3 linked regions of the Callithrix jacchus genome follow. Each later gene encodes a partner of the first gene's protein in a complex. Links are inferred from orthologs where the notes say so. Each region holds a gene or a part of one and is shown in the gene's direction. Other genes may lie near its edges.

What was found.
Region 2: APOOL (region 1) and MICOS13 share a complex: the UniProt entries of both Homo sapiens proteins name them as parts of the mitochondrial contact site and cristae organizing system (MICOS) complex. The link is inferred for Callithrix jacchus from reciprocal best matches to the Homo sapiens genes APOOL and MICOS13.
Region 3: APOOL (region 1) and IMMT share a complex: the UniProt entries of both Homo sapiens proteins name them as parts of the mitochondrial contact site and cristae organizing system (MICOS) complex. The link is inferred for Callithrix jacchus from reciprocal best matches to the Homo sapiens genes APOOL and IMMT.

Annotation. Positions count from the first base shown.
Region 1 is NC_133524.1:82,523,959-82,528,068, forward strand, and holds the start of APOOL (MICOS complex subunit MIC27), read left to right. Parts: upstream 1-1,310; 5' UTR 1,311-1,382; coding exon 1,383-1,412; intron 1,413-4,110. UniProt on the Homo sapiens protein: Component of the MICOS complex, a large protein complex of the mitochondrial inner membrane that plays crucial roles in the maintenance of crista junctions, inner membrane architecture, and formation of contact sites to the outer membrane.
Region 2 is NC_133523.1:5,376,730-5,380,898, reverse strand, and holds the start of MICOS13 (MICOS complex subunit MIC13), read left to right. Parts: upstream 1-1,369; 5' UTR 1,370-1,402; coding exon of another isoform or gene 1,403-1,431; 5' UTR 1,432-1,559; coding exon 1,560-1,747; intron 1,748-2,118; coding exon 2,119-2,296; intron 2,297-2,479; coding exon 2,480-2,531; intron 2,532-4,103; coding exon 4,104-4,169. UniProt on the Homo sapiens protein: Component of the MICOS complex, a large protein complex of the mitochondrial inner membrane that plays crucial roles in the maintenance of crista junctions, inner membrane architecture, and formation of contact sites to the outer membrane.
Region 3 is NC_133515.1:26,804,308-26,808,477, forward strand, and holds the start of IMMT (MICOS complex subunit MIC60), read left to right. Parts: upstream 1-1,370; 5' UTR 1,371-1,487; coding exon 1,488-1,532; intron 1,533-4,170. UniProt on the Homo sapiens protein: Component of the MICOS complex, a large protein complex of the mitochondrial inner membrane that plays crucial roles in the maintenance of crista junctions, inner membrane architecture, and formation of contact sites to the outer membrane.

The DNA of each region.
Region 1 (4,110 bases):
GGTTTATCCATGTTGTTGCAAATGACAGGTTTTCTTTCTTTTTTTATGGTTGAATAATAACCCATTGCCTGTGTGTGTGTGTGTGTGTGTGTGTGTGTGTTTTGTGTATGTGTGTGTACCACAATTTCTTCATTCATCTGTTGGCAGACACTTAGGTTGTTTTCATATTTTGGCTGTTGTGAATAATCCTGCAATGAACGTGGAATACAGATATCTTTGCAATTGCTGATTTTATTTGCTTTGGTTATACAACTACTTTGGCTATTCAGAGTATTTTGTGATTCCATACAAATTTTGCAATTGTTTATTTTCCTATGTCTGTGAAATATGCCATTAGAATCGAATCTGTGGATAGCTTTGGGTAGTGTGGCTACTTTAACATTAATTATTCCAATTCATGAACATAGGATATCTTGCATTCATTTGTATCTTCAGTTTTGTTCATCACTCTTTGATAGTTATCAGTATACAGTTCTTTCACCTCTTGGGTTAAGTTTATTTCTGTTTTATTCTTTCTGATGCTATTTTAAATGGGTTTTCTTTCTTTTTTGGGTAGACCATCTTCGATAGTGCATAGAAATCCAACTGCTTTTTGTATGTTGACTTTGTATGCTGCAGTTCCCTTTATTTATTAGTTCTAACAGGGTTTTGGTGGCATATTTAAAATCTTCTATGTATAATATCATGTAATGTGGGAAAAGAGACAATTTTATTTCTTTTTTTCCAATTTGAATGCCTCTTATTTCTTTCACTTGCCTAATTGCTTTGGCTAGGACTTCCAGTGCTATGTTGAATAGAGGTGGCAAGAGTGAGCAACTTTGTCTGGTTCTTGATCTTAGAGGAAAAGCTTTTAGCTTTTCACCTTGGTTATGATATTACTGTGGCCTTATCTCATATGCCCTTTATTATGTTGAGGTACATACCTTGTATAATTAATTTGTTGAGAGTTTTTATCACAAAAGGGTGTTGAATTTTGCCAAATGCTTTTTGTGTATTCATTGAAATGATTGTGTTGTTTTTATCTTTCATTCGGTTAATGTGGTGTATCATGTTTGTTAATTTGCATATGTTGAACCATCCGTGCTTCCCTGGGATAAACCCCACTGATCATGGTGAATGAATCTTTTATTTTTATTTGTTCATTTAATTGTTTTTCCAACTTCTATTTTAGGTTCAGGTGTACATGTGAAGGTTTGTTACACAGGTAAACTCATATCATGGGCATTTGTTGTGCAGATTATTTCATCACTCAGGTAATAAACTCATTACCCAATAGTTATCTTTTCTCCTCCTCTCCTTTCTCCTAGAAGAAAGAAGACCCCAGTGTCTGTGGTTTCCTTTGTGTTTGTAAGTTCTCATCATTTAGCTCCCACTTCAAGAAGATGCCAGTGTCCGTTGTTTCCTTTGTGTTTGTAAGTTCTCATCACTTGCTCCCACTTATAAGTAAAAACATGTGGTATTTGATTTTCTGTTCTTGCATTTACTTGTTAAGGATAACAGCCTACAGCTTCATCCATGTTTGTGCAAAAGACATGATCTCATTCCTTTTTATGGCTGCATACTATTCCGTGGTGTATATGTACCAATTTTTTTTATCCAATCTGTCATTGGTGGGCATTTAGGTTGATTCCATATCTTTGCTGTCGTGAATAGTGCTGTCAAGCTACTCTTCTAAGTAGCTGTACCATTTTGTATTCCGACCAGCAATGAATGAGACTTGCCATTGCTCCACATTCTCCTCAGCACTCACTGTTATCAATGTTTTGGATTTTCACCCTGCTAGTAGGTATGTAGTGGTATCTCATTGTTGGTTTAATTTGTGATTCTCCAATGACATGATGTTAAGCATCTTTTCATGTGATTATTTGCTATCTGTGTATCTTTAATGAAGTATCTGTTCAGATATTTTACACATTTAAACAAAATATTAGTAGTTTTGCAGGAATAGGTGGTTTTAGGTTACATGGATGAGTTCTTTGGTGGTGATTCTGAGATTGGTGCACCTGTCACTTGAGCAGTGTACACTGTCTTCAGTGTGCAGTATTTTGTCCCTTACCCCCTCCCACTGTTCTCCTCAAGTTCCCAAAGTGTATTATATTATTCTTATGCCTTTGCATCCTCATAGCTTAGCCCCCACTTATTAGTGAGAACATATGGTAATTGGTTTTTCAATACCTGAGTTACTACACTTAGAATAATGTTCTCCAGCTTCATCTGGGTTGCTGCAAATGCCATTATTTTGTTCCTTTTTATGGTTGAGTAGTATTCCATGTTGTATATATAGTCCACATTTTTTTTGGTCCATTTATTGGTTTATGGGCATTCGGGCTGGTTATATATTTTCAAAATTGCAAATTGTGCTGCTGTAAACATGCATGTGCAAGTGACATTTTTATATAATAACTTTTTTCCTTTGAGTAAATACCCAGTAGTGAGATTGCTGGATCGAATGGTAGTTCTACTTTTAATTCTTTAAGGAATCTCCATACTGTTTTCCATAGTGGTTGTACTAGCTTACATTCTTACCTGCAGTGTAAATGTGTTCCCTTTTTACCACATCCACACCAACAAGTATTGTTTTTTAATTTTAATTATGGCCATTCTTGCAGGAGTAAGGTGGGATTGCACTGTGGTTTGAATTTCCATTTCCCTGATAATTAGTGATGTTAAGCATTTTTTCATATGTTTGTTGGATATTTGCATATTTGAGAAGTGTCTATTCATGACCTTTGCCTACTTGTTCATGCAAGTTATTTTCTTGCTGATTTGTTTGAGTTCTTTTTAGATTCTGGATATTAGTCCTTTGTCAGATGCATAGTTTGTGAGTATTTTCTCCCACTCTGTCTGTTGTCTGTTTCCTCTGCTAATTATTTCCTTTGCTATGTAGAAGCTTTTTAGTTTAATCAGTTCCCATCTCTTTATTTTTGTTTTTGTTGCATTTGCTTTTGGGTTCTTGGTCATGAACTACTCTTTGCCTAAACCAATGTTTAGAAGAGTTTTTCTGATATTATCTTCTAGAATTTTTATGGTTTTAGGTCTTAGATTTAAGTCCTTGATCCATCTTGAGTTGATTTTTGTATAAGGTGAGAGATGAGGATCCAGTTTCATTCTGTGGCTTGCCAGTTATTCCAGCATAATTTGTTGACTAAAAGGGGTGTGCTTTTCCAACTCTTATGTTTTTGTTTGCTTTGTCTAAAATAAGTTGGCTATAAGTATTTGGCTTTATTTCTTGGTTGTCTACTGTGTTCCATTGGTCTATGTGGCTACTTTTATACCAGTACAATGTTTTGGTAACTGTAGCTTTAGTATAGTTTGAAGTTGGGTAATATGATATCTTCAGAGTTGTTCTTTTTGATTAGTGCTACTTCAGCTATGTGGGCTCTTTTTTGGTTCCTTAAGAATTTCAGGATTGTTTTCTTCTAGTTCTATGAAGCATGTTGATGGTATTTTGATGTGAATTTTATTGAATCTATAGATCGTTTTTGGCAGTATGGTCATTTTCACAAAATTGATTATACCCATCCATGAGCATGGGATATGTGTCCATTTGTTTGTGTTGTCTATAATTTCTTTCAGCAGTGTTTTATAGTTTTCCTACAGAAATCTTCCACCTCCTTGGTTAAGTATATTCCTGAGGTTTTGTTTGCTTGTTTATTTTTTGTTTTTGTTTTGCAGCTGTTGTAAAAGGGATTGAATTATTGATTTGATTCTCAGCTTGGTCGTTGATGTTTAGCAATCCTACTGATTTCTGTGCATTGATTTTGTAACCTGAGACTTAACTAAATTATTTTATCAGGTCTAGGAGCTTTTTGGATAAGTTGTTAGGATTTTCTGGGTATACTATCAGATATGATTGGTGAACAGATATTATTGGTGAATAGCAATGGTTTGACTTCCTCTTTTCCAGTTTGAGTTCCCTTTATTTCTTTCTTTGTCTGACTTCTTTGGCTAGGATTTCCAGTATCCTATTGCGTAGAAGTGGTCAAAGTGACCATCCATGTCTTGTTTCAGTTCTCATTGGGAATACTTTCAATTTGTCCCCCATTTAGTATGATATTGGCTGTGGGTTTGTCATAAATGGCTTTTATTACCTTGAGGTCTGTCCCTTCT
Region 2 (4,169 bases), on another chromosome or scaffold:
TGGATGGATGAGTGGATGGACAGAAGGAGGGATGGAGGCATGGATGGATAAATGGATGAGCGGATGGATGTATGATGAATTTGGGAAACAGATGGATGAATGGATGGGTGGATGGATGGGGGAGCAGATGGATGGATTGATGGGTGGATGGATGGGCAGACAGTTGGATGAACGGATGCGTGGATGGATGGGGAGACAGATGATGAATGGAAGTGTGGATGGATAGATGGAAGGATCGGTGGGTGGATGGTCAGATGGATAGATGGCTGGATGGGGGGAGCAGATGGATGAACGGATGCGTGGATGGATAGCGAGACCGATAAAGGGAACTGTGGATGGATAGATGGATGGGTGGGTGGGTGGATGGCCAGATGGATAGATGGATGGGTGAGGGGACAGATGGATGGAAGGATGGACGTATGGACGGATGGATGGGCAGATGAACGGTTGAAGCAGCCTGGCCGAGATGCAGGAGGAATCCGGGCGGCGGGGGGCGGGGAGGGACAAATTCCTGCAGAACCCACCGGCCCCTTCTAGACCCCGGCGGGCCTTAGCTTCCCCTCCGAACAAAGGGGGTGTGTGACCTGCTGCGCAGCCCTAAACTGTATACTTACCCACTCAGGCCTCAGTTTCCCCCACTATCCAGCGGGGTTGGGGTCCCGGCCTGGGAGCCACGCGAACGTCCCACGGAGCTCTCTTCCCGGCCGCCTCCTGCCGGGTCTCTGACCGCGCCCCCTCCCGTAGGGCCCGGGTCACCTGACTCCAAACCCACCTCCTCGCGGGGAGGGGCCGGGCCTCGGGGACCCAGCGCCGGAGCGTCGCCAGGCAACAGTCCCCGCCTGCTCTCCACCTCCCAGTCTCGGCCCCGCCCCTTGGGTGGAATCCCCGCCCCCGAATCCATCATGTGACGGGACCGCCGCTTTCGAACAATCCCGCCTTCGCGTTGCCGTGACAACCACTTTCTATGGGCACTTTTTCTAGGTCCCGGTCCTTAGTCCCCCGTGCGGGCGCGGGCGGATCTCTCGGGCTCCGACTTCTTCTCGGGTCACCTTCAGGCTTCAGTCCAGGCACCCGACGCCTCGTTCCCCTCACACTGCTAGGGCCGGGTTAGGCCGGACCGGACTACATTTTCCAGGAGGCTCCGCGGCCAGGCGTAAACAGCGCGGTGCTGACTACATTTCCCAGACAGCCTTGCAGCGGCCCGGGTCCTGAAGCGTCCATTTCCCAGCGGCCCTTCGTGGCGGGACCGTAGCCCTTCTCTGGAGTCTCAGCGCCCTAAGAGACTACCACTCCCAGGAGACTCTGCGTCGCGCAAGAAAGACTACGCCTCCCAGAGGCCTCTGCGGCGTGGCGACCGGAAGCGGCGGGCGAGTCGTGTCCTTGCGCGTGGAGCCGAGCGACTATGGTGGCCCGGGTGTGGTCGCTGATGAGGTGCGTGGGGCCGCCGGATAGGACCTGAGTCCCCGAAAAAGTCCCTTTTTGTGGGCACCCTTGTCTCCAGTCTGCTTGCGATCTGTTCCTCGCTTCATGTAGAGTTACCTTCCCTTCCTCCCCCGCCTATGGGCCAGATAGGGAAACTGAGGCTCCAGCGGGGTGGGGCTTCCCTAGGTCTCCAATCCCTCCCCTCTTGCCTGCCAGCGAGCCCTTTGCGTTCCGCTCACGGTGTCTGCCTCCGCCTCCGAGCCTCAGTTGTCTTCTCTGTGAAGAGGCAATGCCCGGTGAATCCTGTCGCTGGCGTGGATGGGAGGTGAATGCGTGCTCGGAGCGAGTGACAGCGGGCAGGAGGCGTCCAGGGACACTTGGTTTCTCCAGGGCTGGAAGGCTCTGGAAAGTCAAGGATCTTTTTCACTGCCCCTGCTCACTGTGGGAACTTGAGTGACCCACTCTCCCGCTCTGGGTTTCAGTTTACCGATTAAAATGGCGTCCAGCCGCCCTGCCTTGCACATTGTGAATCGAGTGCTGTATATGATAGGGGTCTGGGTCGACGGTGCTACATACAGAGTGTCACCCTGTGGACGGTGAGCCCCCGGGAGGGTCTGACTCTCCCCGTGGGCCTAGGCTCCTAAGGGTGGCGGTCAGTGTCCGCTAAGCTTCTGCTCCTCCCGTCCCTACCCGCAGGTTCCTCATCAAGGGAAGTGTGGCTGGGGGCGCCGTCTACCTGGTGTATGACCAGGAGCTGCTGGGGTCCAGCGACAAGAGCCAGGCAGCCCTAAAGAAGGCTGGGGAAGTGGTTCCCCCGGCCATGTACCAGTTCAGCCACTACGTGTGTCAGCAGACAGGCCTGCAGATACCCCAGGTACTCCAGGCTGGGAGCGAGGCCAGGGCTTGGCGAGTGGCCGACTCTGGGGCTGCCTCCAGCCCTGCATGATGCCCTCCGTGTTGGTGCTGCCTGATTCTCAGGCCTGTTCTCCTCCCTCTGTCTCTGGGGCTGGGCTGCTGGGTCTTTTCACCGGTTCTTTCTGCCCATCTCTCTTCCCAGCTCCCAGCTCCTCCAAAGATTCACTTTCCCATCCGTGACTCCTGGAATGCAGGTAGGCACCTGGTTTCTTTGCTTGTGGGGGTTGCTGCAGACACCCCAGTCTAGCCCGTCTCCCCATGTCCTGGCCACTTTTTCTATCCATCCCCCGGCCTGCCCCACACGTGTCTCTTAGGGATCTAAAAGGGAACCGAGGCCAGGCCTGGTGGCTTATGCCTGTAATGCCAGCACTTTGCGAGCCTGAGGTAGGAGGATCACCTGAAGTCAGGAATGTCAGGAGTTTGAGACCAGCCTGGGCAACACAGTGAAACTCTGTCTCTACTACTCTGGAGGCTGAGGCAGGAGAATCTCTTGAGCCCCGGAGGTAGAGGTTGCAATGAGCCAATATTGCGCCACTGCACTCCAGCCTGGGCAACAGAGCAAGACTCTGTCTCAAATAAATGAGTAACAGGGAAAGGAGTGGAGATTCTAGGGAAGGGGACGAGGGCGGAGCCCTTGAGGGCTGGACTGTGCACCGCCTGTTAGAATGGGAGGTGGGAGGCCTGGGCCCACAGCCGAACTTGTCCTACGAGCTTGGACAAGGCAAGGCGCTGCCCCTCTGCTGCCTCAGTTTCTGCTGGAAGTTGTTTTTAAAAAGACTTGCTTGCTAGGAGTGGTGGCTCATACCTACAGCACTTTCGGAGTCTGAGGCGGAAAAGCTGTTGGAAGCCAGGACTTTGAGAACAACTTGGGCAACATTATGAGACCCTGTCTCTTCACAGAGAAAATCTGCTTTTCTTTTTTTTTCCTTTTTTGAAATGAAGTTTTGCTCTTGTTGCCCAGGCTGGAGTGCAATGATGTGATCTCGGCTCACCGCAACCTCTGCCTCCCAGGTTCAAGCGATTCTCCTGCCTCAGCCTCCCGAGTAGCTGGGATTACAGGCATGTGCCGCCATGCCCGGCTAATTCTGTATTTTTGTAGAGATGGGGTTTCTCCATGTTGGTCAGGCTGGTCTTGAACTGCTGACCTCGTGATCCGCTTGCCTCAGCCTCCCAAAGTGCTGGGACTACAGGCGTGTGCCACCACGCCTGCCTAATTTTGTATTTTTTTTTTTTTTAATAGAGATGGGGTTTCACCATGTTGGTCAGACTGGTCTTGAACTCCTAACCTCAGGCCATTCATCTGCCTTGGCTTCCCAAAGTGCTGGGATTATAGGCATGAGCCACCGTACCTGGCAAAAATTTTTTTTTTTAATTATTTTTTTAATTTTAGACGGGGTTTCACCATTTGGTTAGGCTGGTCTTGAACTCCCGACCTCAGGTGATCTGCCCGCCTTGGCCGCCAAAGTGCTTGGATTACAGGTATGAGCCACTATGCCTGGCCCAAAACATCGTTTTTAATTAGCCAGGCATGGTGGCATGTGCCTGCGGTACCAGCTACTTGGGAGGCTTATGCAGGAGGATTGCTTCAGCCCTGGAGTTCAAGGCTTCAGTGAGCTATGATGACACCACTGTGCCCCAGCCTGGGCAACAGAGGGAGACCCTGTCTCTAAAGAAACCAAAACCCCTAGAGTTTAGGATTTCCCAGGGCTTGGAGGCTGGGGGAGGCTGGGAGGGAAGCGTCACCAGTGGCCGTCCCTTCCCCACAGGAATCATCACAGTGATGTCAGCTCTGTCGGTAGCCCCCTCTAAGGCCTGCGAGTACTCCAAGGAGG
Region 3 (4,170 bases), on another chromosome or scaffold:
GAAAGAATACTATATTGTAATAAATTACCCAGTTAAGACCTGGAATACTTTGCAAACTCAATAGAAGATAGAAAAGTTAGTTTCCACGATATTGCAATAAGATGGTAATAGTATTAATACTAACATATTAATACTGGAGTATACATGAAGTATTAATACCATATTTTAATATTTAACATGTTTTGATTATAGAATCAGTAGAATACTTTCTTTTTAAAAATTTTTTTCGGCCAGGCGCGGTGGTTCATGCCTATAATCCCAGCACTTTGGGAGGCCGAGGCGGGCAGATCATGTCAGGATATCGAGACCATCCTGGCCATGATGAAACCCCATCTCTACTGAAACAGAAAAAGTTAGCCAGGTGTGGGGGCAGGCGCCTGTAGTCCCAACTACTCAGGAGACTGAGGCAGGGGAATTGCTTGAATCCGGGAGACAGATGTTGTAGTCAGCTGAGATTGTGCCACTGTACTCCAGGGAAAGAGCAAGACTCCGTCTCAAAAAAAAAAAAAAAAATGTATATATATATATATATATATACATACACACACACATACATACATATATATACACACATACATATATATATGTATATTTTGTTTGTTTTTGTTTTTCTGTATAGAGACTAGGTCTCACTGTGTTGCCCAGGCTGATCTCGAACTTCTGGGCTCAAGCGATCCTCCCGCCTCGGCCTGCCGAAGTGCTGGGATTACAGGCGTGAGCCACCGCGCCCGGCCTAATGGAATACTTTCAACCGTGCTTCTGTATTGACCTTCCATGTTCCAACCCATCCACAATTGCAGCCAAAATGATGTTACTAAAGTAAAAACTTGGGAGAAAGCTTCTGGAAGGAGCAGAAGCTGTGGAGTCCAAAGAACCTGTGTTCCTATCCTTTTTGTGCCACTTGACACGTTCCGCACAAGGGTCCCTACAGTGTTCGTTCACCGTCTTCGGCAATCAGGATGACTCCCTGAAGGGCTGTCAAACGAAGCAAACTCGCAAACTGAGACAATTCCATTGTTTACGTAACTTTGGCCAAATCCACTCCTTCCTACGAAATATCCAGCTCACAGAGCCGGCTGAGATGCTTTCTTGCTTTAATTCTTTGAAGAGTCACAGGTGTCCATTTTACACGTGCGGCTGAAGACTGGATTTCAGAAGGCCCTCCCTCCCGCCGCGTTCACCTAGTAACCCCAGCTTGGGGATAAGGACCTGTAGCCTCAGTGCGACCCGGAAAGTGAATCCGCCCTTCTAGCCTCCTTCGCACCAATCGCCCGGAGCTGGCGTTTCCGCAGCCGGGGTAGAACCCACCCTTTAAGAGCTGCCGAGTCGGGTACCGGAGAAGAGGTTGCGCGTGCGCAGTGGAGTCGGCTGCCCTTCCGGTGCGCCGGGCGCGGACGCGGGCACGCACATACGCACGCACGACTCCACTTACTCGCGCCGCCGCTGCAGCTCCAGCGTTCACTAGTGCCGCCGTCCGCTCCACCGAGATGCTGCGGGTCTGTCAGTTATCGGGTGTGACCGCCGCCGCCCAGGTGAGCACTGGGGCTACCGAGGGCGTGTGAGGAAGCTGACCTAAGACCGTCAGCGGCAAACTGGGGAGTCTTGGACGCTGCCTCGCTTCCAGGACAGAGGCGAGTCTTAGGGCCAACCTTGTTGGGAGAGGCCCGGGCTGGCAGTGAGGCAGCCACCAGAGAGTTCGCCGGAGTGGGATGACTTGAGGTTATTGCCACAGCAGGGTGGGGTGTGGAGAGTAGCGGGAGGCGCGGCTTCGCGGGCGTGCCATCCAATCAGCGCCGCGCTGCCCCCATCCAGGACCAATCCTGGCTGCTGTCGTCTGGGTCGCCGGTTGGGCGCGCGATAGGTTTCCACGGCTGAAGGTCGCCGCGGGAGAACTACAGTTCCCGGCAGGAGGAGCGGAGCCGCGGCTTGTTGCATCCTTGATCAGGAGGTTCTTGGACTTCTAGAGAGAGTCCACATTTTAGGGGTCAAGTTTATAATTATCTGGAGGGGACTGTCTTTTCGCATCTGAGAACACCTCTGAACTGCTATTCGTAATTCAAACAAAAGCGAAAGATGAAATTCCTTTGTGGAGCTGAAACTCCTGGTAAGGAAAGACAGGAGTCATGACCTTGTGGCTCATTTCTGAGATTAGGACAGGGATCTGTGTCTCCAGGCGCTAAGACTACTTTGACATTCAAGGAGCCAAAACACCCAGTTGCTTTTAGTTTTACGTAGTAACCAAAGTTACTTTCTAAAATTGAAAATAAACCTGTTTGCATTGCTCATGATTTTCAGAAAGTTGATATTTTGGCAAAATGTTGTAGATAGTAAAACAAGTACTGTGACTCAAGCAGTAATTGAACAGAATCTCCAGGAATAGTGAGTTAGAGATCATAAAAGTCAAGCTTTGTTTTTTCAAGTTCGCTTCTCTTTCTATTTGCTGCTAGGGTAAGAGAAGCAGCCCCTTCCATAGGAAAGTGGAACGAACCTGTGTTAGTCTTCTATTGCTATGTAACAACACAAATTTTGCAGCTTGAAACAACACCCGTGAATGACTCCTACACTTTCTGTAGGAGTCTGGGCATGGATGATCTGGGTTCTCTGCTCAGGGTCACACAGGGCTGCAAAGTATTAGCCATGCTGTGGTTCTCTTGGAGATCAGGGTCCTCTTCCAGGCTCATGCAGTCTGTTGGCAGAATTCAATCCCTTGCAGTTACAGGACTGAAGTCCCTCTTTTCTTGCTGCCTCTTGCCAGCCACTGCTCACAGCTTCCATAGCAAGGCCTCCAGAGGCCATTGGTAGCACGGATGTTTGCTTTCGTGCAAGCTACCAGGAGCTTGTCTCTCTGACTTCCAAATTTCTTTTACTTCCGTCTTTCCTCTCTAGACCCAGATTTAAAAGGCTTATGTGATTAGACCAGACCCACCTGAATGACCTCCTTTTCAGTTAATTCAGTCAACTTTTTGGGATCCCATTTGGGGAATAAGAAGACTAATTAAAACTTGGTAATAAAAAATGTACCCTTTTATAGCTCTAAGTCAAGATGTCTAAGCTTCCTGAAATTGCTATCTTATCAACTCTCAGAACTTTAATCCCCAAGCAGATGACTCTGTAGCCTCATCATATTTGATTTTGTCAACTTATCCAGAATATTCCACTTGTCAAGATCCTTTCCACTTTATTAAACTCCATCATCTTTTTTTTTTTTTTGATACAGAGTCTCACTTTGTCACCCAGGCTTGAGTGCGGTGGGATGATCATGGCTCACTGCAGCCTTGACCTCCCGAGTGCAGGGGATCCTCTTACCTCAGCCTCCTGAGCAGCTGGGACCACAGGCATGTGCCACCATCCCTGGCTAATTTTTAAAAAAAATATTGTAGAGATGGGGTCTTTCTGTGTTGCCCAGGCTGGTCTCAAACTCCTTGGCTCAAATGATCCTCCCACTTCTGCCTCCTAAAATGGCTGGGATTATAGGTGTGCGCCACTGTGCCCAGCAACCCCATCTTAAATGTCTTACTGCTTTTACTATTTCATCCTAGTGTCCATTGTTTAGGAGGGAGTAGTAAAACCAGTAAGACATTTAGTTAGTAAAAGACTTTTTAAAAGGCAAACATGATGTCATGTCCTTTAGAGACATCCCATCACGTTCAGAATAACATTTAAACTGTCTGCTGTGGGCCCTTGATCTGACTCTTCTCATATTTCATTTTTCTACTGCCTCACTCAGATTCTCCTGGTAATCTCCAGCATGTACCTCACTCCCTTTTCATTAGGTGTTTCTTTTGCCCTGGGCTCTACTCACACGTTTGCTTAGCTTATTACCTTCAGTTATTTTCTCAAATGTCACCTTCCCTTCAGAGAGGGCATCCCGATCCAAAATAGTATTCTGATTACTCTTGCCTTCCTTGCATCACCTGTATTTTTATCCCATCCTACTTTATTATGCTTTGTAGCTCCTAGCACTACCTGATGTTATAATGTGCATTGCACAGTCACCTTTAAAACGTAAACTCCACAATGGAACTGTGTCCATATAGTTTGCTGCTATATTTCCAGTACTAACAATAGTCCCTGGCTCTGAGTGGATGCTCATATATATGTTTATGACATATATAAATGAATGAATGAATATAATGTGTTCATTAATTTTTTTTTTTTTTTTTTTTTGAG